6 linked regions of the Sus scrofa genome follow. The protein of the gene in region 2 interacts with the protein of the main gene of each other region in a pairwise test. Links are inferred from orthologs where the notes say so. Each region holds a gene or a part of one and is shown on either strand. Other genes may lie near its edges.

Region 1 (4,019 bases), on a different chromosome or scaffold from region 2:
ATCATTTACATGTCTTTAAGAAAAAGTTAACCATTAAAGAACTATTTTGGTAAATCGGTCTTCTTGGATTTTCTCATGGGTCTCTACCCTAACATGTTTAGTTGATGTCAATTAGTTTCTACTAGGCCACCTGAACAAAATGTTTCATGTCTGTAAGCTTTCATAAAATTACATGCATTATATGTGGAATCTAATTAAAAAATGACACAAAAGAACTTAATTTATAAAACAGAAACAAACTCACAGATTTCAAAACCAATCTTAAGGTTACTATAGGTGAAACCATTGGGGGGAAGGGAAGAATTGGGAGGGTGGGAGTAACATACACACACTACTGTAGAAAACAGATGATTAATGAGAATCTACTGTATAGCACAGGAAAATCTACTCAATGGTTTGTAATAACCTTAATGGGAAAAAAGAATGGCTCTATTTATGACTGATTCACTTGCTGTACACCTGAAACTAACACAACATTGTAAGTCAACTAAGCACCAATAAATTTTTTTTAAATTACATATAAATGCAAAGGTAGAGATATTTTTTACTTTTCCATTGTATTCTACAGAGAAGTGCTGTTTTAATAAAAATGTAGATCTCAAGGACATACTAATCATCACTATAAATACATCTTAAATATATTTTAAAATTATCGTCTATTGTTAAAAGTAACGTTCCCCCTTTCTCCTAGCTGAACAATAAGAAATAAAACCTAATTGAAATATAATTCTTTAGTTACTCATACATCATATGGCCTACTTTCCCCACTTTGGAAGGCTGCATGAAGTTTTAACTCCAGTTTTGCCCAGGCTGCAATATATTATTATCAAGGTAAATAAGCCCAAGAATTATAATAAAATAATGGACAGTATATTGAGTTTTCTAATATTCAATTCCTGTATTGTTTTTAAAGCCGAGAATGACAATACAGAGTATCAATTTAAATAATCCATACACCAAGCTTGAAGAAAAGCAGACATACTCATAATCAAGAGTATGCTAGAAACGAATGGAAGCTAGAAACTAACTGTGCTGAGGAAGATTTTACCCTCAAATTCCTGTAAATAGCATGCTACCCACTGCACCTAAAATGTTAACACAAATTGATGTCATAAACTTGGTTTTATGGCTATGAGACTATGAGAAGCACTAGGGAGGATCAGGGGGTTTTGCCCCAGATTCCCTGAGGCTGGCTTTAGAGAAGTTTCTCTGTTTCTAGGTTTCAGATTCACTGCGGGGGGGGGGGGGGGAAGAAAGGAGTGAGGGTTGGAGTAAACTGGGATTACCAAACAAAATCCATCAGTAAACGCAAGCTTTACTTGGTAGCTCTCCAAGGTAGTTGTGATAACCTTTTGTTTTGAAGTAATTTCCAGGGAAGAGAGAACACAGCTGTTCTTACTACGTCCTCACCCTCCCCAACTCACACAGGCACCTCACCGTCAGGAACCGTGAAGTAGGGTTCGTAATTCCAGACCAAGAAAGTGAAAGGAATTGTTCTCTTCAAAATTTAGGGCTAAGAGTGTGCTTGTTTTGGAGTGTTGGCTTGGACGTAGGGGAATTTGGCAGAACAGAAACGACCCTTTAAATCCTTTCACTGAAAAAGCTTCAGGAAGTTTTGCGTCAAGATAACCTCCTTATGCTGATGGCATGCAAAGGACCTTCCTCTGGATTATCTACCCAAGGTATGTTTGTCTGCTGTTCCTACCATTGTTATCTAGTCGGAGTACTATGCAGATTCAAGACACAAGCCTCGACAGAAATGCTATGTTTGAGAACGACTGGAACCTAAAAAACCTGCAAACTCCTGGTAACAATTCGGATCGCCTCTAATAAGATAGGGAAAGAACTCCTTTATAAGATTAAACGTTTCGCGACCACCCCCAAAACTTGAGTTCACACTAACCCCTAGTGGCAGACACGCTGGGGGGCAGTGAGTCCACGATCTATGCCGAGAAGCGCAGTGCTGGAAACACCTTTCAGGTTCCAGAAGGCATTGAAAGTTCCAGTCTTTCAGCGCGCGCACAAATACACGTTCAGCACCGAGCTCCTTGGCGTCCACCTCATTAATTCCCACGCAAGCTCCCGCCGGGGAGAACTCTTCCCCATGAGCCGGAGGCCACAACCTCCGAGACCCACTTCCTGGGATGTTCCCAACTGGGAGCGGAAGCCCCCCAGTAAGTCCAAAATGGGGTGTACCCTCACTTCTTTCCTTTCTCAGCCTCCACACCTCCGCCCCGACTACTCCTCTCCTCGGATACTGAGGTCACACCTACACCACCGGAGGCCTCCCGCTCCCCAGTTCAAAAACCGGCCCGGACCGCGAACCGTCCCGCTCAAAGCAGCACAAAGGAGTCGAGCCCCCCGTGTGCCCACGGACCTCGAGCCGCGCAGGGATCCGCCGGAGCCGTTCGAACGCCTCCGCACCGCGGCCGGGCCGGGGCCCATCTCGGGCCCGAACGGCAGCGGGACCCAGACCGCCGAGTCCGCGAGCCGGCAGCGGGGCGTGCGGGCCTGGCCTCGCGGGGGCCGGGCGCGGGAGGAGACTGCGGGCCGCGGGCGGGCCGAGCCGCGAGGAGGGTCAGGGGCCCGGGGCAGGGAGGGGCCCGCGGCGCGCGTGTAGGGGCCGCCGCGTCAGCCGCGCGGCAGGAGGCTTCCTGTCCCGTCGCGCTCCGGCCCGCCCGCGCGTCCCGGCCCCGCTTCCCCGGCCTCGGGAGTTTGCCTGGAGGACGGGGGACAGTGCGGGGCGCCGCTCTCCAGCCCTCACCTCCTCGCGCCTCGGCCCCGGCCGCCGCCATCTTGAGGAGCTTTCATTCAAACTGGCGCGGTCGGACGGGATAGCTCAGCTGGCCGACGCCCCGCCCCCGCCCGGCCCGCGCGGGACTCGGGGGCCGGGGCGGGGGGCTAGAACCCGCGAGGCGTCCTGACGTCAGCCGAGGCCGACTTGTCTGGGACAGCCAGCGCGCCTGCGCCCCACGTTGTCTCCCCGTGTGCGGAGGGGCGGGGCAAACTGGCCGGAGAGCAGCCCGTGGCCGGAATACCGGAGTGTAGGGCTGGGTCAGCGGCCACCTGCCCTGATCTGCCTAGTTTAGCGCCTAATTCAAGGCACTTACCACAGGCTTTCCTACAGTTGTTAGTTCTTTTCCATGGTGCTACTGATACACACCGTGCAAAATTTCAAACGCAGAGCGGAGCTACAAAGTGCAGAGTACGTTTCCTTCCCGTACCTGTTCCTTAGCCACCTGAGCCCTACTAGCCACTGTTACGTTTCCTTCCAGGCTACTCCTCCAGATCACAGTTTCTCAAAATTGGCTGCACGTTGGGATTCCTTGGAGGTTTGGGGTTTTTTTGGTTCCATTCGCAGAAATTTAATAGGCAAAAGGTGTACCCGGAACATTGGAGTTTTTAGAGGTCCCCAGGTGATTCTAAATGTGGAATTTGAAACCTCTGGTCTAGAACAGTGCTTCTCACACTCGAATGGGTACAGGAATCATCTGAACATCCTGGTGTTTTTGTTTGTTTTGCCTTTTTTTAGGGCCACACCTGGGGCATATGGAAGTTCCCAGGCTAGGGCTCAAGTCGGAGCTCCAGCTACAGCACATTTCGCAGCAACAGGGATCCTTTACTCACTGAGCAGGCCAGGGATTGAACCACATCCTCATGAATACTGGTTGGGTTAGTAACCCGCTGAGCCGTAATGGGAATTCCCTGGGCATCTCGTTAAAATGCAGATTCGAATCAGGTATGTCTGGGTTGGAACCTGAGGTTCCGCGTTTATGACGAGCCCCCAGGCTACGCCCCATGCCTGTGGGTAGGCTGTAAGATGCCAAGTCCTACAGGTCCTTTGCTAGGACCTAACTGGTCTCCACTCCCACCCCGCCCCCGTCCATTCTACACACTGCGTCCATGGTAATTGTACTGCACGATCTGATGCGGAAATCTGAGACTAGTAAATTGCGAAAGTTCCGCAGAAAGCTGTTTAATGTCTACCAACGATTTTTAAAAGAAATTTAAGTAAAACA
Region 2 (4,084 bases):
CTGCCTTGCCCATAAACTCCCCTGCCCCGTGCTCACCACGTTCGTATCCCGTTCCAGCGCCGGTTCCCAGCCCAGGTCCCGGGGCCCGCAGCAGTCTAGGCAGACAAGCGCGCGGCAACGGTAGTGGCAGGTGAACTTGCAATCTGCAGAGAGGTCTGGTCGTGAGGCGGAAAAACCCCAGCAGCAGCTTGGAGAAGCGTCCCAGGGACAGAAGGGAAGCCTCGGTGTGAAGGCCTTTGCTCTCTGTGCTCTGCATGACCTGCCTCATCTCCGGCCCCGTTACCGCCCCACTGCTACACAGATTTTCAGTGTTGGTCCCCGGGGGATGGGGGTGGGGGCGGGGGCGCCTGAAAACTGGCGGGGGCGCCTGAAGGCCTCACGCGTTAGGTTAGGCCTGCTTAGCAGTTGGATTCCTAGCGCTTAGGACAGAACTTTCCCCTTCCTTATTATCAGTGCCCCTCCCTCCGCCCATTTATTTGAAGGGGAAAAAAATAAAAAAATTTTTAACCCAATGCTCTCTACCCTCTCGGTGTCATTTGTACTCCCCTGGCACCAAAAGCTTACCAACATTGGTCTACAAACACTTAATTCCTCGCCTTCACCCTTTACCCATCCCAGTTAGGCTTGCCTCTTCCTCCAGACACGGCACTGTTCAGGGTTGTTAGCGACCTGTGCATTACCAAATCCAGTGGGCCCTTCTCCATCTTCGCCTCCTCAGCATTGTCTGATGCTTGCTCTCCTTGATCCCCACCCCGGGGAGGGGGTGCTACCCTGGTTTTCCTCCCACCTCTCTACAGCTCCTGCTGTTTCAACTTCCAGATTTAGTGGAGTGTCAAAGGCTCAGTCCTGGTCATTTCCCTGCTCTGTGTACACTGACCTACCCGAGATCCAAGGCTTCCCTCACTGACTCCAACCCCATCAAATCCCATGTGTCAGTTTCTTCGTTTGGATGTTTTATAGATATCTCAACCCAACGTGACCAAAATTTAACTCACTTTCCTACCCTTTAAAACTCACTTTTCCTCACTCTTACCCTTGCCAGAGCTTCTCATCTCAGCAAAAATTTCCCAGTTGTTTGAGGCAAAAAAATCACCCTAACTCATCCTTAATTCCTCCCTTGTTTCTGCCTCTGACACACATCCAAATTTTCCTGTTTTTCAATTTCATATTCACTTTATTTCTACTTGGGAACAGTGCTAATGTCCCAGCCCTTGTTCATGCTTTGCATTCTGTAACAACTCCTGTGCTCCTCCCAGCTGAATTCAGGACAAACTCCTGTACCTGATGAGGCTATCCTTGGACACACAGGCCTGGGACAGCTTCCCTAAGTTCCTAAATGGGCCAGAGCACTGATTCACAACCCAGGCTGCACATTAGAATGATCTGTCTTTAAAAATCGCTGATAACACTCTCGTGATCGATTCAACAGGTCTCAGGTAGGATTCAAGCATAGAGGTTTGGAGGACTGTAAAAGCATACTAAGTGTATAGCCAGGGGGGAGAGCAACCTCTTATTGCTGGTGGTTCCTGGAGGGCAGAAGCATCAGCTGGTGTGTGGACGCTCCTATTTTTTTTTTTAAGGGCCGCACCCACGGCATAGGGAAGTTCCTGGGCTAGGGGTCTAATTTGAGCTGCAGCTGCCGGCCTACACTACAGCCACAGCAATGCAGGATCTAGGCCACATCTTCGACGTATACCACAGCTCATGGCAATGCCGGATCCTTAACCCACTGAGCAAGACCAGGGATCGAACCCATGTCCTCATGGATACTAGTCAGATGAGATACCGCTGAGCCACAAGGAGAACTTCAACAAAAACTCTTGCTTGCAGGGGGCCTACCCAAGGGTCTAACTTTTTCAAGGCCTTCTCCCATTGTCGGGTAAATTCTCTTCACCCCAGGAATTCTGGAGGGGGACTTGGTGAGTGAATCTTTGTAAGGGGCAGGTGTGGGAATATGAACTCAAAGACTGGTGGGTACAAAGCCTTTTTCAAGAAGGATCAAGGCACTTTTTAAACTTGAAAGCAGCACCTTGTTATTCACAGGCAACCACTGCTGCCTATGTCCCATATGCAGGTGGCACGCTTGTAAGATATCAAGGTTATAACCCATCTGCCTGCACTGTCTTAGGCTATTTGGCAAAAGTAAACTACCTGGTCTGTGGTCCCCACTGACCCCCTCCGTAGCAACTTGGCCTTCAGCTTGGCCACCCGTTTCACTCTCGCCAATGCCCCGGGCGCTACTCACGTGCGCACTGCAGGCCCTTGCGCACGACGCCCCAGATGAAGTCACCACAGAGGTCGCACCACGTGTGCGTGGCGGGCCCCGCAGGCTGGAAGCGGTGGCCTCGGCCCGGGACCAGCTGCCTTGCGTTGTTGCGCGCTGTGCCCGGAGCAATGCGCAGCGCGTTGGCACGCTCCAGCCGGGTGCGGACCGGGGCGGCGCACCGAGCGGGTGCCAGTTCCCGCAGCTCAATGAGCTCGGGCTCAGCGGACATGTCCCGGTCCGGCCGGGACTCCTGCTGGCTCTGGGCGCCGAGCGAGCTCCCGACGGGCGGGGCCGCGGGGCGGGCCCCCGATGCGGCGCCGCCTCCGGGGTTCAGGCAGAGCGGCGGGAGAGCAAAAGAGCGCGGCGCCAGGGATACCCAGCACCCAGGCTGCGTCTGCCCTCCCGCAGGAGAAGTGGAGCCCGGAGGGCGCTGCACGGGTGCTGCTGTCGCGGAGTCCCCGCCCTCCTACCTCCCTTCATCCCTCGAGCTACTCCCCTCCCCCTAACAACCACGACGACCACGCGGAAAACAGGCGTCTTTATGGAAACCAGCTTTACTTTACTTACTGAAGGAAGAGGGTCCCCACATCCGGTTCTCACCCCCACAACCCCGCCCAGGGCCTCTCTCCCCAGCTTGCTGAGGCTGCACCCTAAGCCGGGTGGGGCAGGAAGTGGGGATGGCTTTGCTGGGGAAGATGGGTCAGCAGCACTTCCCTCCTGCTGTCTTCCTCATCTGGGAGGCTGGGGCACTTGCAGAGGCCAGGCCGAGATCCAGAGGTTCAGGGGTACACTCTAGTGGATTGTATGGCATGGTGGTTGGCCCTCAGCAGCTGCATCCTTCACTTGGCTCTGTCACCTTGGGCTGCCACAACACAAGACTTTCCATGTTTTTCCCAGTGCTTGACTTGGCACTCCCTGCAGGCAAGTGGGCCAGTAAAGATTCAGTGTTTGTGAGGGGTATGGAAGTGGGATTTAGGGATCCAAGATCCTAGGATACCCTCACCTGCAGCAGTACCACTCATTCTGGCATCGTGAGCAGCGCTTGGAGGCCTCTGCACTGCAGTAAGCACAGCGGGGTCGCTCTGGAGCCACTGCCTCCAGCACGTCCAGTCTGTAGGTCTCAGCCCACCTGGGAAAAGGGTCAGAAGGACTTGACTGGACCTGTGGGTGGGGGGACAGGAGCAGCCCTGCCCACATCCATGCCTTCTGCATCTCTTCCACCCCTTCCAGCAGGCCTCACCTTTGTGCTTGCAGCCTCAGGTCCTGCTCTGAGGTGCTGAATATATGCTGCAGCTGGTGCTTGGCAATAGCCTGCCACTTGCCTTTGTTCTCTTGCTCTAGCCGCTCCCAGATTTCTGGGATCTGGGGAAGAGAAATGGAGAGTAGCAGGGAGGAGCTGGCAAAGTGGGCAGTGGTCCCGAGCAACTAACTTTCTAGTGCCTACCTGTTCCAACACCAGGTCTTTCTTAGGGGGCTGGGCTTCGGCCAGGGCCAGGTGGGCTAGGAAACCCTGCAGGTCTGCCAGGTTGGGCATCTGGTCCAGCAGCGTGTCTGTGAGGAATGCCTGAAGCTGCAAGGGTTTCCAGGGAGGCCAGTGTGAAGCAGTGCTGACCAGAAGGTCAAGGAACAGAGAGACCCTGGGCTGGGTTGGACTAAGGATGCCCGTGGGACCCACATCCCATTAGCTTCTGTGTGTGTCACCTGAGGCCCAAGTTCTGGAGAGAGGCCTAGGGTTGAGGCAGGTGGGTAAAAATAAACAGGGGTGGGGTGGGGCAGGGCTAGGGGGCTGTGGGGCTGATATGGGAGGAGTTCCTACCT
Region 3 (2,230 bases), on a different chromosome or scaffold from region 2:
CCTAATCAAGAGGGGAAGTGCCCTACTATGGGTTCTGGAAGAGAATGGCTCAGTCAGCCAGGCTCACTTGTTTCTTATTTTCCAATTAAAGAAATAAAGGCTGTGAATTTTCCTCTGAGTATCTCTTTGGCCATAACACACAGATGTTGATATGTTACGTTCTCATTGTCTTCACTTCTGACTAGTCTATAATTTTATTTTTAAGTCTCTCTCATAACCCAAGAAGAATTTACTTTTAATTTCCATACAGATATTTTCTTTTCAGTTATGGATTTCCTGTTTTATCTAATTACAGTCAGAGACCATGGCTTATATGACTTTGCCTTCTGCCTTTTCCCTTATTTCTTTTGTAACCTCAAGGAAATTAATTTTATAAGGATCCTGTGGGCATTCTTTAATTTGGTACAAAGTTCTAAACATCAACAAAAAACAAATTTGTTATGCATTTAAATCCTCTCTAAGCTTTTGGTTGTTTTTTTTTTTTTTTTTCCTTCTTTTTTGGCCACAGTACAGCATATGGAAGTTTCCAAGCCAGTAACTGAATCCCCAGCCACAGCGGTGACCTACACCAGAGCTGCATCAATGCTGGATCCTTAACCCACTGGGCTGGGCTGAGCCGGGGATCAAACCTGCACCTCAGCAGCAACCCAAGCCACTACAGAGACAATGCTGGATCCTTAACGCTGTGCCACAGCAGGAACGCCCAAGTTTCTCGTTTCCTTTTTGGATCTTCTTCATCCTCCTGTTTCTAGGACTGTATTAAAATCTACTCCCAGGAGTTCCCGTCGTGGCGCAGTGGTTAACGAATCCAACTAGGAACCATGAGGTTGCGGGTTCGATCCCTGCCCTTGCTCAGTGGGTTAAGGATCTGGCATTGCCATGAGCTGTGGTGTAGGTTGCAGACACGGCTTGGATCCCGCGTTGCTGTGGCTCTGGCGTAGGCCGGTGGCTACAGCTTTGATTAGACCCCTAGCCTGGGAATCTCCATATGCCGCGGGAGCAGCCCAAGAAGTGGCAAAAAGACAAAAAAAAAAAAAAAAAAAAAAAATCTACCCCCAGCAGGAGTTCCCATTGTGATGCAGTGGTAATGAATCCGACTGAGAACCATGAGGTTCTGGGTTCGATCCCTGGCCTCGCTCAGGGGGTTAAGGATCCGGTGTTGCCATGAGCTGTGGTGTGGGTCGCAGACACAGCTCGGATCTGCTGTTGCTGTGGCTGTGGTGCAGGCCAGCAGCTGTAGCTCTGATTAGACCCCTAGCCCGAGAACCTCCATACGCCATGGGTGCGGCCCTAAAAAGCAACAAAATAAAAATAAATAAAACCTATCCTCAGGAGCATTTTCGTCAAATTTCCTTGTGCTCCAATTATGTCTGCCTTGTATATTTTGATGTTGTTTGGGCATTATTTGCCTACAGAGAGGGAGACGGGACCCAGGGAGGAGCTGGGATCTGCCAGAAGAGGGAGGGTACTGACTGGGCTTGGGGAGGCCCAGAGGTCCGGGCGGGGCTGAGGCTCACCACTGTGCGGTGAAGTCCACAAACTCGGGGGAGAAGCGGTCAGCTGGGAGCTGAGGGGACGGCTCCTCCACCACCTGCTTCAGCTGCTGGAACGGGGTGCCCCACGACTCATAAGGAAACCGCAGGATGGCCATCTCGATCTGCAGGGGAGACAGCCACAGTGGGTCCAGCGCAGCCGCAGCTCTGCAGCCCCGGAGCCCATTCGCGGATCCTGGCCCAGCGCCCAGAGCTGGCCTGTGAGGCAGGTGAAGGGCGGACACAGCCCGTCAGGCCAAAGCGAGAAAGGCAGGGGACCCCAGCAGCTACTCCTCTGACCCAGCCAGCAGACTAAGCTCTCACCCCGAGTTGTGACTGGCTTGGCTACGCTGGGTGTTCAATCTGGATTCAGAAGATTTTACATGGAAACCTAGGTTCCAGCTCCTTTGGAGAAACGGTGGGGACACCTTCCCACAAGGTGGCAGTCGGCAAAGGAACCTGGGTAACCAGCATCCCTGTTTGCCACAGGCCACCCGCCACGATGCCTCCACAATGTCTTAAGCATCTGCTGCACTGATCTGGGTTGTTACCCCTGAAAGGGCAAACGAGGAGTTCCCGTCGTGGCTCAGTGGTTAATGAACCTGACTAGCCTCCATGAGGACGCAGGTTCAATCCCTGGCCTCGCTCAGTGGGTTAAGGATCCGGCGTTGCCGTGAGCTGTGGTGTAGGTCACAGGC
Region 4 (3,500 bases), on a different chromosome or scaffold from region 2:
TATCTCAAAAACACTTTACAAATTAAATTGTGGGTTAGCATCCTTCAACAGCAAAAAGTTCCATAACCCCTTAGGTTATTAAAGATGCACTGCTTTCTGCTGTTTTAAAAGAATTTTTAAAAACTTACTTGTGTCAAATGTCTTTCATTGTTAAATAGAGCCAAGAAACAAAACTTTGCACAACTGGCTATAAAAAGTAACACAGAACTATCCTGATTCCTATAGAAGTATATTCCCAAAACAGAAAGTTAATATTCAATGGGAAAAAGCCACATACTTTTCATAGTTCCATCTTCCTCCTCCTCGTCCTCGCTGTTTATAACCATGGTCCCCAAGTCAGATTCTAACATTGTGCTGTTATGTTCAATCATGGTCTGGGCCCCTTCACTCATCGTGCTTGTGGCCCTCATTGTGCCCACACTTTCCGAGCTGGTCTTCACCATGGTGTGGGAATCCAGCTCATCTTCATCCTGCAAGCAAAACACTGCAATGAAGGAAGACTTTTCTAACACAGCTGGATATCTTACTTCTTAACAACAGTACAACCATAGTATACTTTTATTTTGCAGTTTTTTAAATTATTTTTTTAATACTTATTTCCCCAATACAATTTTTTTTTCTACTGTATAGCATGGTGACCCAGGACCATAGTATATGTTTAATAATGACTACTGTTAGTTATATTATCGTAAGAGCCAAAGTTATCCAAAATAACCTAAAGCTCAAGCAATAGAAATTGGCTGGTGAAACAGAAAGCTGCTAGCTGTTCTTAAAATAATGATTCAAATAGGTAGATGATCAACAAAGAATAAGGTAACAAAATAAACAAATAAAAGAGAGCACATGAAAGAGAGAAATGTTGGCACTATTATAACAGCATTAATAATGTTCGTAACTTTGTACAGGAGCTGTTAGCTTTTCAGAAATTGTGAAATATGTAACACAAAACTTACCATTTTAACCATGTTCTATGACACTAAGTACATCCTCAATGTTGTCCAATCACCAAGATGCATTTCCAGAAATTTTTCATCATCTCAGAGAATTCTATACTCATTAAAAGTAACTCCTTGTTCCTCCCTCCAATCTCTGGTAACCTCTATTCTACTTTCTGTCACTATGAATCCACCTATTCTACCTCCTCTAAGTAGAGTCATGCCTTTTGTGTCTGTCTTATTTCTTTGAGTACAATATTTTCAAGGTTCATTCATGTTGTACAGGATGTCAGAATCTCATGCCTTTTAAAGACAATAATTTTCCAATGTACATACGTGTGTATGTGCCACACACACATCCACCCCCACACACACCACCTTATGTTTACCCATTCCTTTGTTAATAGGCATTAAGGTGTTTATATCTTTTGGTTATTATAAATAACGCTCTCAACACTGGTATGTAAGTATCTACAAATAGATGGTCCGTGACTGCAATGGTTCCACTTTGAATTTTCCAGCTTTATAATGATACAAAAAAGATACACATTCAGTAGAAACTGTACTTCAAATTTTGAACTTTTCCCAGGCTAGCAATATGCGGTGATACTCTCATGATGCTGGGCAGCAGCAGTGAGCTGCAGCTCCCAGTCGGCCATGTGATCAGGGAAGTAAACAACCAATATGTTTACAACCATTCTGTGCTTTTTCACTACAGGAGTCAGCAGATCGTGTGAGATTCTACACTTTGTTACAAAATAGGCCTTGTGTTAAATGATTCTGCCTGACTGTCCGCTAATTTAAGGGTTCTGAGCACACTGAAGGCAGGCTAGACTAAGCTATGCTTTTTGGCAGGCTAGGTGTATTAAATGCATTTTTCTTTCATTGGTGTTATGAGGATTATTTAGAAGAGGTATTCAAAATGCCTGCAGCCTACTAGGGACAAGGTAGTTTCCAGCCTTCTTTAAAGTATACCTACTATGCCAATCTTTCTTGAATACTATTTGTATCATAATATTCTTCTATTGAAGAATCTGCAATAGCTCCCGGTTTCTGCCTACAATGAAAGCTAAACAAAACTGCCCAGATTTTAATGCCCTCTATGTTATGTTATGTGGCTGATCCTATTTTCGCATTGTTCACATATGGTCCAAGATAGTCAGGTTAACCTTGACTGAGTCTCCAGATGCTTGCTATAAACCCATATCACAATATGCTCATCATCATCAGTGTCTAACAGAGGCAATGTAAGAACAACTTTACAGTTGCTCGCTTTGAAGACAGAATGGGATGAGGCCATGAGCCAAGAAATGTGAGCAATTCCAAAGCTGGAAAAGGCAAGAAAAGAGATTCCCCTGTGGAGACTTCAGAAAGGAGCACACAAACCTGCTAATATCTTGAATTTAGCTCAGTAAGATCCATTTCAGACTTCAGACCTACAGAACTATAAAATAATAAATTTGTATTTTTTTCACACACACACAAAAGGGACTTCATCTTTGCTCATGTCTTTTTCTCTACCTAGGATGCTCTTTCCTCTCTAACTTAACTAAATCCTATTTAGTTCCAGATCGAGTATCTTTTTTTTTTTTCAGAGCTGCACTCATGGCATATAGAGATTCCCAGGCTATGGGTTGAATCGGAGCTACAGCTGCTGGCCTACACCAGAGCCACAGCAACATCAGATAAGAGCCATGTCTGTGACCTACACCACAGCTCATGGCAACGCCGGATCCTTAACCCACTGAGCGAGGCCAGTGATCAAACCTGCATCATCATGGTTCCTAGTCAGGCTCGTGAACCACTGAGCCACGAAGGGAACTCCTCAAGTATCTTTACCTTCATGGGCAATTCAGTCTTTATTAGTTATCTTCTTTTCCAAACTTCTAGAATTTATAACCTGCATCATACATTTTTGCATTTAAATTTATGATCTCATATTTAACTGTTTTATAAAATCTTTTTTAATGTAAGTACCTATGGCTAAGAATGCCTTTTAGTATTTCTGAACCTACTAAAGTGTTTCATTCAGTATTACACACACAGTAAGCATTTGTTATATTTTACTTTTTCACAGAATTATAAAATCATGAACCTGTAATAATTCAACCAAAACTCTCCTTGTTGGTAGATGCAAACTATTACATTTAGAATGCATGAGCAATGAGGTCCTACTGTACAGCACAGAGAACTATATTCAATCTCTTGGAATAGAACATGATGGAAGACAGTGTGTGTGTGTGTGTGTGTGTGTGTAAACGGGGTCACTATATGCTGTATAGCAGAAACTGGCACAACACTATAAATCAACTATACTTTAAAAAAATCAGTTTTTGAAGCAAAAAATAATAATAATTCAACCTCTCATTTTATACAGAAAGAACTTAAGCCTATAGAAAGTAAGAGACTTCTCCAAGGTCACATACCTACTTAAAAGTAGAGCTGCAACTAAGAAACTAGTTCCTTTATATTGCTTAATCCACTATTCCCCAAATACATGTACCTAACTTACATTTAAATTTTGGTCTACTTGGTTGCTTAAGTTAGAGGTGCAGGTTTACAATT
Region 5 (3,500 bases), on a different chromosome or scaffold from region 2:
ACCACGCAGCCATAAAAAAGAATGAAACAATCCCACTCGAAGTAACCTAGATGAACCTAGGGACTGATTATCATCCTTAGTGAAGTCAGTTCAGACAAAGACAAGTACCACATTGTACCACTGCTACGTGCAATCTAGAAAAACATAATAAAATGAACTTACGAAACAGAACCAGACTCACAGACATGCAACAAGGACCTACTGAAGAGCACAGGGAACTGCCCCATGTCTTGTAATAACCTGAGACAGCACAGAACCTGGAAACACCACACAACTGAATCACTCTGTGTACACGTGAAACAAACACATACCATAAACCAACTACACGTCAATCTAAAAATTTTTAATATCAAAGTAAGACTTTGATAGTTTCCCTTCGGGAAAAGAGAAGAGACAGAGAAGGACGTGAACAGCTAATGGCCCGCGTGGTTTTAGCGGGAGGCCCACAGCCTGAGGAACGGGGTGCGAGAGACACCCTCGGTTCCCGACGCTCAAGCACACAGAGCAGCCTGGGTCACGGTCAGGTTCCCTGTGAAGAGGACGCCTCGGGGACTTCTTTTTGTTCCTTCCCGGCTGCACACGCAGCATGTGGCAGTTCCTGGGCCAGGGGGTCACCCCTGCGCCTCGGCAGCGAGCCCAGCCACAGCAGGGACAGCGCCAGATCCTTCATCTGCTGCGCCACAAGGGAACTCCGAAAACGTTGTTTTTCTTTTCTAAGGGACTTCCTGTTTACACCCGGAGTCAGGATGAACCAAGGCCACATGAGTGGGGTGGCGCGAGGGTGGAGCGGGGGTACGAGGGATGGTTGGAACCTGAGTAGTTGTTTACTGGAGCTGAAGTTATAAAACTCAGAGAAGAAAACAGAGAGGAGGATCTCCACGATGGTGGATCTGGCCCTGATTTCTTGGATATGACACCAAAAGCACAGGCAATAAAACACAAAACACATAACGGACTCAACAAAATTTCAACTTTGTACACATCAAAATCAGCAGAGCGAAAAGGCAACCCATGGAGGGGGAGACTGATGCCCAGTGTAGATGTGACACAGGATTAACGTCAGGAATACAAGAAGAACTCAACAACAAACCCCCAAACCACCTGATCAAAAAAGGGCAAAGGAGGAGTTCCTGCAGTGGCAGAGCAGAAACAAATCTGGCCAGGAACCATGAGGCTGTGGTTCGATCCCTGGCCTCGCCCAATGGGTTAAGGATCCGGCGTTGCCCTGAGCTGTGGTGGAGGTCGCAGATGCAGATTGGATCTGGCATTGCTGTGGCTGCAGGCTGGGACCCCTAACCCGGGAACTTGCATGTGCTGCAAGTGCGGCCCTAAAAAGCAAAAAAAAAAAAAAAAGACAAAGAAAGAAGTGGGGGGTGGGGCCAAGGACTTGAAGAGACCTTTCTCTCAGAAATGAGCACGAAGCACAGGAAGAGACGTTCAGCATCCCTGAACACAACGGACACGCAACTCAAAACTGCCAGGAGATACCATCTCACACGCACCAGAAAGGCTACTACTAAAAAAAGAGGAAAATAAATGTGGGCACGGATGCGGAGAAGCAGGGACTCCGCTCCCTGTCGGAGGGAACGTCAAATGGTGGAAACAGCACGCAGGTTCCTCAGAAGGTTCCAGGTGGAATAACCGCGGACCCAGCAAGCCCGTCCTGGGCATCGACCCAGACACACTGGGAGACAGCAGGGACCAGGCAGGCACCTTCAGGTTCACGGCAGCCCTGTTCACAAGGGCAGGGGACACACAGCCTGAACGGCCACCACCGGACGATGGGCAGACAAAGTGGAACGTTACTTACACACAGTGGGGTACCGTTCAGCCTAGAAAGGAAATCCGGACACAGGCGACAGCAGGGCTGAACTGAGTGAAACGAGCCAGCTACGGAGGCCAGAGCTGCACGGTGCCACGTATACCAGGGCCCAGCCACAGAGGCCAGAGCTGCACGGTGCCACGTATACCAGGGCCCAGCCACGGAGGCCAGAGCTGCATGGTGCCACATATATCGGGGCCCGGAGGAGGCCACTTCATGGCAGCAGAAGCAGCAGAGAGGCTCCGGGGCCCCAGGGCCACCGCTGAGTGGGTCAGCTTCTGCCTGGGATGATGGAAACATCGGGAAACGGGCAGTGGTGACAGCTGCACACCTTTCTGAACAGACTTAATGCAACTGAACTGTACACTTAAAAGGGGTTTCCATGCCAAGTGTCGGCACATTTATGCACCAGGTTATCATCATGCAGGCAAATCAGTCACTGGTTTAGCAGTTCGATGAAGATACAGACACTGCCAAACTCCAACTTATGATCACTGTAATAAAACCAAGCCTTAATTTAAGGTTTTCCTAACCAAGAGGTTACTGATTTAGGGTCTCCCGTGGACTGAGGGGCATGTGAAAACGTTCTAGGACTGTCAGGGAGCAGGTGGGAGCGCGGTTCTCAGAAGTTCCAGAGACGTCAACGAGGCTCCCGTCCCGCCTTCGAGGCCATCCAACCATTCACTTCGGAGAGTAAAGGGCCCCTGTGCTAAAACTATTTAGCACTAAGTTGTTACGTGACAGAGAGATTTTACTTACTTGAAATGAACATGAGAAACATGCAGAGCTAGCCTGACCACACAGCTGACAACCTGCCAGCGGCAACCAGGTAACACCCAACATCCAAAGCAACACAGCGACTTGCTCGGGCACCGCTCTGAGCTCTGAGCTCTGCTGGGTCTCGCTCGGCCGCCCCAGACCTGCAGCCTTCCTGCTTCTCTGTTCCCAATCCCCACCTGGAGATACCAAGACGGCAGGGGACCACGGTCCCGTAATACCTCAAGTCAAAACCTGGGTCTGACTCTGTGCCTTTACTTATTAAAACACTTTAACTAAGTAGTAATAATAGTATGTGTGTGTGTTTGTGTGTGTGTTTGTCTTTTAGGGCCACTCCCGTGGTGTATGCAGGTTCCCAGGCTAGGGGTCAAAGCGGAACTGCAGCCGCCGGCCTCCACCACAGCCACAGCAACGCCGGATCCAAGCCGCATCTGTGACTTACACCACAGCTCATGGCAATGCCGGATCCTTAACCCACTGAGCGACGCCAGGGATGGAACCTGCATCCTCACGGATACTAGTCGGGTTCATTAACCACTGGAGCCACGATGGGACCTCCCCACAACAATACTTTTGAAAACTCCCGTTACACACAGGGACAAGGGACAGCACTACACCACTGGGGATAAAAGGTGGATGTCGGCAAAGACCGCCCGGCTCATCAGGCAGCCCCACGGGGCAGCCCCGACTCCCGCTCCGTTACCTTCAGCTGGGTCTCCGTGGGAGTCGGGGCCAGGAAGGGCGGCTGCCCCACCAGCATCTCGAAGAGAATCACGCCGACACTCCACCAGTCGCAGAGCTGGGTGTACCCTGAAAGACAGAGTCGGGCTCCTGAGGGGCACAGGCCCGGATGCGTCCTGATTTTCCACCATCAGCCTGTGACAAGCACCGTATGTGCTCT
Region 6 (3,500 bases), on a different chromosome or scaffold from region 2:
GGGGTTTTGCTGACCAAAGTACACTGCCACTCAAAGTGAAAAGGCAAGACCAAACATCAACATCTTGAAGAGAACCCCAGCCCTGTAGCTGTCAAGTTTCCCTCTTCCCTAAAAGTTACCACCACCCCTGGATATAATAAGTGACTGCAGAGTTCCCGTTGTGGCACAGCAGAAACAAATCCAGCTAGGAACCATGAGGTTGCAGGTTCGATCCCTGGCCTCCCTCAGTGGGTTAAGGATCCGAGGTTGCCGTGAGCTGTGGTCTAGGTCGAAGACACGGCTCGGGATTCCGCATTGCTGTGGCTGTGACATAGGCCAGAAGCTACAGCTCCGATTTAACCCCTAGCCTGGGAACCTCCAGAAGCCGTGTGTGCGGCCCTAAAAAGCAGAGAAAAAAAAAAGTGACTGAAAGGAGGTCATAAACCTAGAAGTCCCCCAAATCACAAGAGAGTCATCAGCCTCCAAGCCACATTAATTCTACATACTTGAAAAAAAATTGGCCTACTACATGGCAATTAAATTCTACTATTTCCAAAAAAAATAAAACTATAGGAAATACTGTAGGTTCAGTTCCAGACTGCTGCAATAGAGCAAATCACATGATTTTTTCGGTTTCCCAGTGCATATAACAGTTATGCTTCCCCTATACTGTAGTCTATTAAGTGTGCAATAGTTTTATGTCTAAAGAAACAATGTATATACCTGCATTAAAAAAAATAATGTATTGCTAAAAATGCTAACCATCATCTGAGCCTTCAGTGAGTTATGATCTTTTTTTGAAATAGTAACGTCAAAGATCACTGATACCATATCAAATATATCAGCAATGGAAAAGTTTGAAATATTGCGAGATTTACCAAAATGTTGACTAGAGACGTTAAGTGAGCAAATGCTGTTGGAAAAATGGCACCAACAGACTTCTTGATGCAGGGTTGCCACAAACCTTCAATTGTTAAAAGCAATAAAGCAAAGTGCAATAAAACGAGGTATGCCTATATTATTTATCGTGTTTCCAATAAAAGAAGTACAGTTTCTAGAAAAAATAAAACTCTGCAATAAGCAGCTTACATTATATTCATTCAATCTAAAAATATAACCAGTAAATCTTCCCATCCTTCTCCACTTCTGCCCCCTACAAAGACGGAGCTTATCTTTGAGCACACGAATACTTTATTTTGTATATATATTATTTTCACACAAATACTTTTAAAAAAAACTGTTAGGTCTTTTGACAGAAGGACTACTTAATCAGAGGAGAGGAGGAGCTGGGATGGGCAGTCTGGAGAGGACTACGGAGCCCTTGAAGGCCGGGTTGAGCTCTTGCAACAGTGCTGTGACGAGGGGGGTTCTATGGTGGCTGAAGCCTGGAAACTGCTTAGCTATCAACACAGAAGGAGTTTCAATGGAGAATGACTCTATGGGCCCTTCATACTCCACAAGCGGATGGAGCCTGGAAAGCACAGAGCCTCCAGAACTCACTCATGTAAGGACGAGACAGGAAAAAGACAACAAATGAATCAGGCTGGGTGTTAGTGACATGAGTTCAAAAAAACAGTCTGCTTTCCTCTTAATACTATTATAAGAAAAACAGAAAACACTGCAATAAGCAATAACTGGTACTTGGTGAATACGGAATCGTGGAGACTGGGAAAGTGCTAAGCCCACGCCCCTGTATGAAGGTCAGGACTGCTCCTCAGCTCCAGTTAATGCTGTTATATTAAAACGCGAGAACCTGAACTATTAAAAACACACACAATGCACAAGTCAAACCAAGCATTTCTTGGCCCATGTCCTGCCAGAGGGCTACGAGTACACAATCTTTGGAATGGAGAGGAGTGGATTACACTTGAATTCATAAGTGACTACAACTAATGGAAGTGTACAACTGGAGTCTAGACTGACACTTATCAACTATTTAAAATTAATTCATTTATTGTTTGGTACCTAACCAAGTAAGTCGCTGAACCAACCTTCTAATGATCACTGGTAACTAACCACCCCGCTGATATTCTGTCCATGTTCTTACCCTCATTGGATGGATATCGGCATACGGCGGCTTTCCTTCGGCCATTTCTATGGCAGTGATTCCCAGTGACCAGATGTCTGCCACACAGTTGTACCCTATTTCCTGAATCACTTCTGGAGCCATCCAAAATGGTGTCCCTATCACTGTATTTCTTTTGGCCATGGTATCCTAAAATAGAAAGGAGGAAGATCAACACCAAGCATTAAAACTACTGGGAAAGAGAGTCCTGTCCAAACCAACAAGAAGACACGACTAGGACTTGAAATACACACAAAAACCATATTAAAGAAGCATGATCGATCAAGCAGCCACAAAAGAAATTCAAATGACACAGACATGTAAAAGAGTCTCAATTATTTAAACATAAAAATAACAATCAATTAATAAAACCACTAAAATGAAATTGACAAAAATTAAAAAGATTAACAATAACTAGTACTGATAATAGGCAATTTGGCAACATTTATAAAATTTAAACGTCCATATCCTTTGACCAAAATCAGTTTCTGAGAGTTCCTGCTGTGGCGCAATGGAGTAAGAATCTGACTGCAGTGGCTCGGGATGCTGCAGAGGCACGGGTTCGATCCCTGGCCCAGCTCAGTGGGTTAAGGATCCGGTATTGCCATAGCTGTGGCTTGGATTCAATCCCTGGCCCAGACACTTCCATATGTCACAGGTACAGCCATAAAAAAAAATCTGTTTCTAGAAATGTGTCCTATGTATAAGTACCCCAAGATATATGCATAAGTATTTCAGAAATATTTGTAATAGAAAGGAGAAAAGAAAAAGGAAACAACACGAATTACCAACTAAAGGCAACAAGTTAAGTACAATAAATATCCACACAATGAAACACCACATTAAAAAAAAAGGAGCTAGGAGTTCCCGGCATGGCTCAGTGGTTAACAAATCTGACTGGGAACCATGAGGTTGTGGGTTCGATCCCTGACCTTGCTCAGTGGGTTGGGGATCCAGCGTTGCTGTGAGCTGTGGTGTAGGCCAGCGGCTACAGCTCCAATTGGACCCTTAGCCTGGGAACCTCCATATGCCACGGGTGTGACCCCAGAAAAAACAAAACAAAACAAAAGAGCTAGATACATTTTTTTTTAAATTTTATTGCTGCCTCAGCAGCATATGGACATTTCTGGGCCAGAACTGAATCTGATCCACAGCTGCAAACTACACCAGAGGTGCAGCAACGCCGGATTCCTTTAACCCACTGCACTGGGCCAGGGATTAAATCCATGTTTTTGCAGTGCCCTGAGCCAGTGCAGTTGGATGCTTAGTCCACTGCACCACAGCAGGAACTCCTAGATACATTTTTCTGACATGGGAAAAATGTACGAGACACACTGTGAAGCAAAAATATTAGATTCAAAATTACATATAACATAGCCTTGTCTTTGTAGAAGAAAAGTAATGATCAGAACAATAATTTAAAAAAAAAATAACCAATAATAATAAATATTGCTGT

What was found.
Region 1: the proteins of RASSF1 (region 2) and SUV39H2 interact in a two-hybrid assay, tested with the Homo sapiens proteins (2 studies listed by BioGRID and IntAct). The link is inferred for Sus scrofa from reciprocal best matches to the Homo sapiens genes RASSF1 and SUV39H2.
Region 3: the proteins of RASSF1 (region 2) and MAP2K3 come close enough for resonance energy transfer, tested with the Homo sapiens proteins (2 studies listed by BioGRID). The link is inferred for Sus scrofa from reciprocal best matches to the Homo sapiens genes RASSF1 and MAP2K3.
Region 4: the proteins of RASSF1 (region 2) and STK3 interact in binary tests that used the Homo sapiens proteins (3 or more experiments, as listed by UniProt). The link is inferred for Sus scrofa from reciprocal best matches to the Homo sapiens genes RASSF1 and STK3.
Region 5: the proteins of RASSF1 (region 2) and LATS2 come close enough for resonance energy transfer, tested with the Homo sapiens proteins (2 studies listed by BioGRID). The link is inferred for Sus scrofa from reciprocal best matches to the Homo sapiens genes RASSF1 and LATS2.
Region 6: the proteins of RASSF1 (region 2) and STK4 interact in binary tests that used the Homo sapiens proteins (3 or more experiments, as listed by UniProt). The link is inferred for Sus scrofa from reciprocal best matches to the Homo sapiens genes RASSF1 and STK4.

The regions. Positions count from the first base shown.
Region 1 is NC_010452.4:46,897,094-46,901,112, forward strand, and holds the start of SUV39H2 (histone-lysine N-methyltransferase SUV39H2), read right to left. Parts: upstream 2,801-4,019; 5' UTR 2,796-2,800; coding exon of another isoform or gene 2,765-2,795; intron 2,557-2,764; exon of another isoform or gene 2,378-2,556; intron 1-2,377. UniProt on the Homo sapiens protein: Histone methyltransferase that specifically trimethylates 'Lys-9' of histone H3 using monomethylated H3 'Lys-9' as substrate.
Region 2 is NC_010455.5:32,822,565-32,826,648, forward strand, and holds the start of RASSF1 (ras association domain-containing protein 1), read right to left. Parts: upstream 2,801-4,084; 5' UTR 2,496-2,800; coding exon 2,246-2,495; intron 144-2,245; coding exon 37-143; exon of another isoform or gene 1-36. Other genes in the region: ZMYND10 (zinc finger MYND domain-containing protein 10), read right to left, coding at 3,106-3,181, 3,270-3,395, 3,507-3,628, 3,711-3,836, 4,083-4,084. UniProt on the Homo sapiens protein: Potential tumor suppressor. Required for death receptor-dependent apoptosis. Mediates activation of STK3/MST2 and STK4/MST1 during Fas-induced apoptosis by preventing their dephosphorylation.
Region 3 is NC_010454.4:61,413,369-61,415,598, reverse strand, and holds part of MAP2K3 (dual specificity mitogen-activated protein kinase kinase 3), read right to left. Parts: intron 1,658-2,230; coding exon 1,518-1,657; intron 1-1,517. UniProt on the Homo sapiens protein: Dual specificity kinase. Is activated by cytokines and environmental stress in vivo. Catalyzes the concomitant phosphorylation of a threonine and a tyrosine residue in the MAP kinase p38.
Region 4 is NC_010446.5:38,221,302-38,224,801, reverse strand, and holds part of STK3 (serine/threonine-protein kinase 3), read right to left. Parts: intron 471-3,500; coding exon 278-470; intron 1-277. UniProt on the Homo sapiens protein: Stress-activated, pro-apoptotic kinase which, following caspase-cleavage, enters the nucleus and induces chromatin condensation followed by internucleosomal DNA fragmentation.
Region 5 is NC_010453.5:1,227,971-1,231,470, forward strand, and holds part of LATS2 (serine/threonine-protein kinase LATS2), read right to left. Parts: intron 3,410-3,500; coding exon 3,303-3,409; intron 1-3,302. UniProt on the Homo sapiens protein: Negative regulator of YAP1 in the Hippo signaling pathway that plays a pivotal role in organ size control and tumor suppression by restricting proliferation and promoting apoptosis.
Region 6 is NC_010459.5:47,408,094-47,411,593, reverse strand, and holds part of STK4 (serine/threonine-protein kinase 4), read right to left. Parts: intron 2,195-3,500; coding exon 2,027-2,194; intron 1-2,026. UniProt on the Homo sapiens protein: Stress-activated, pro-apoptotic kinase which, following caspase-cleavage, enters the nucleus and induces chromatin condensation followed by internucleosomal DNA fragmentation.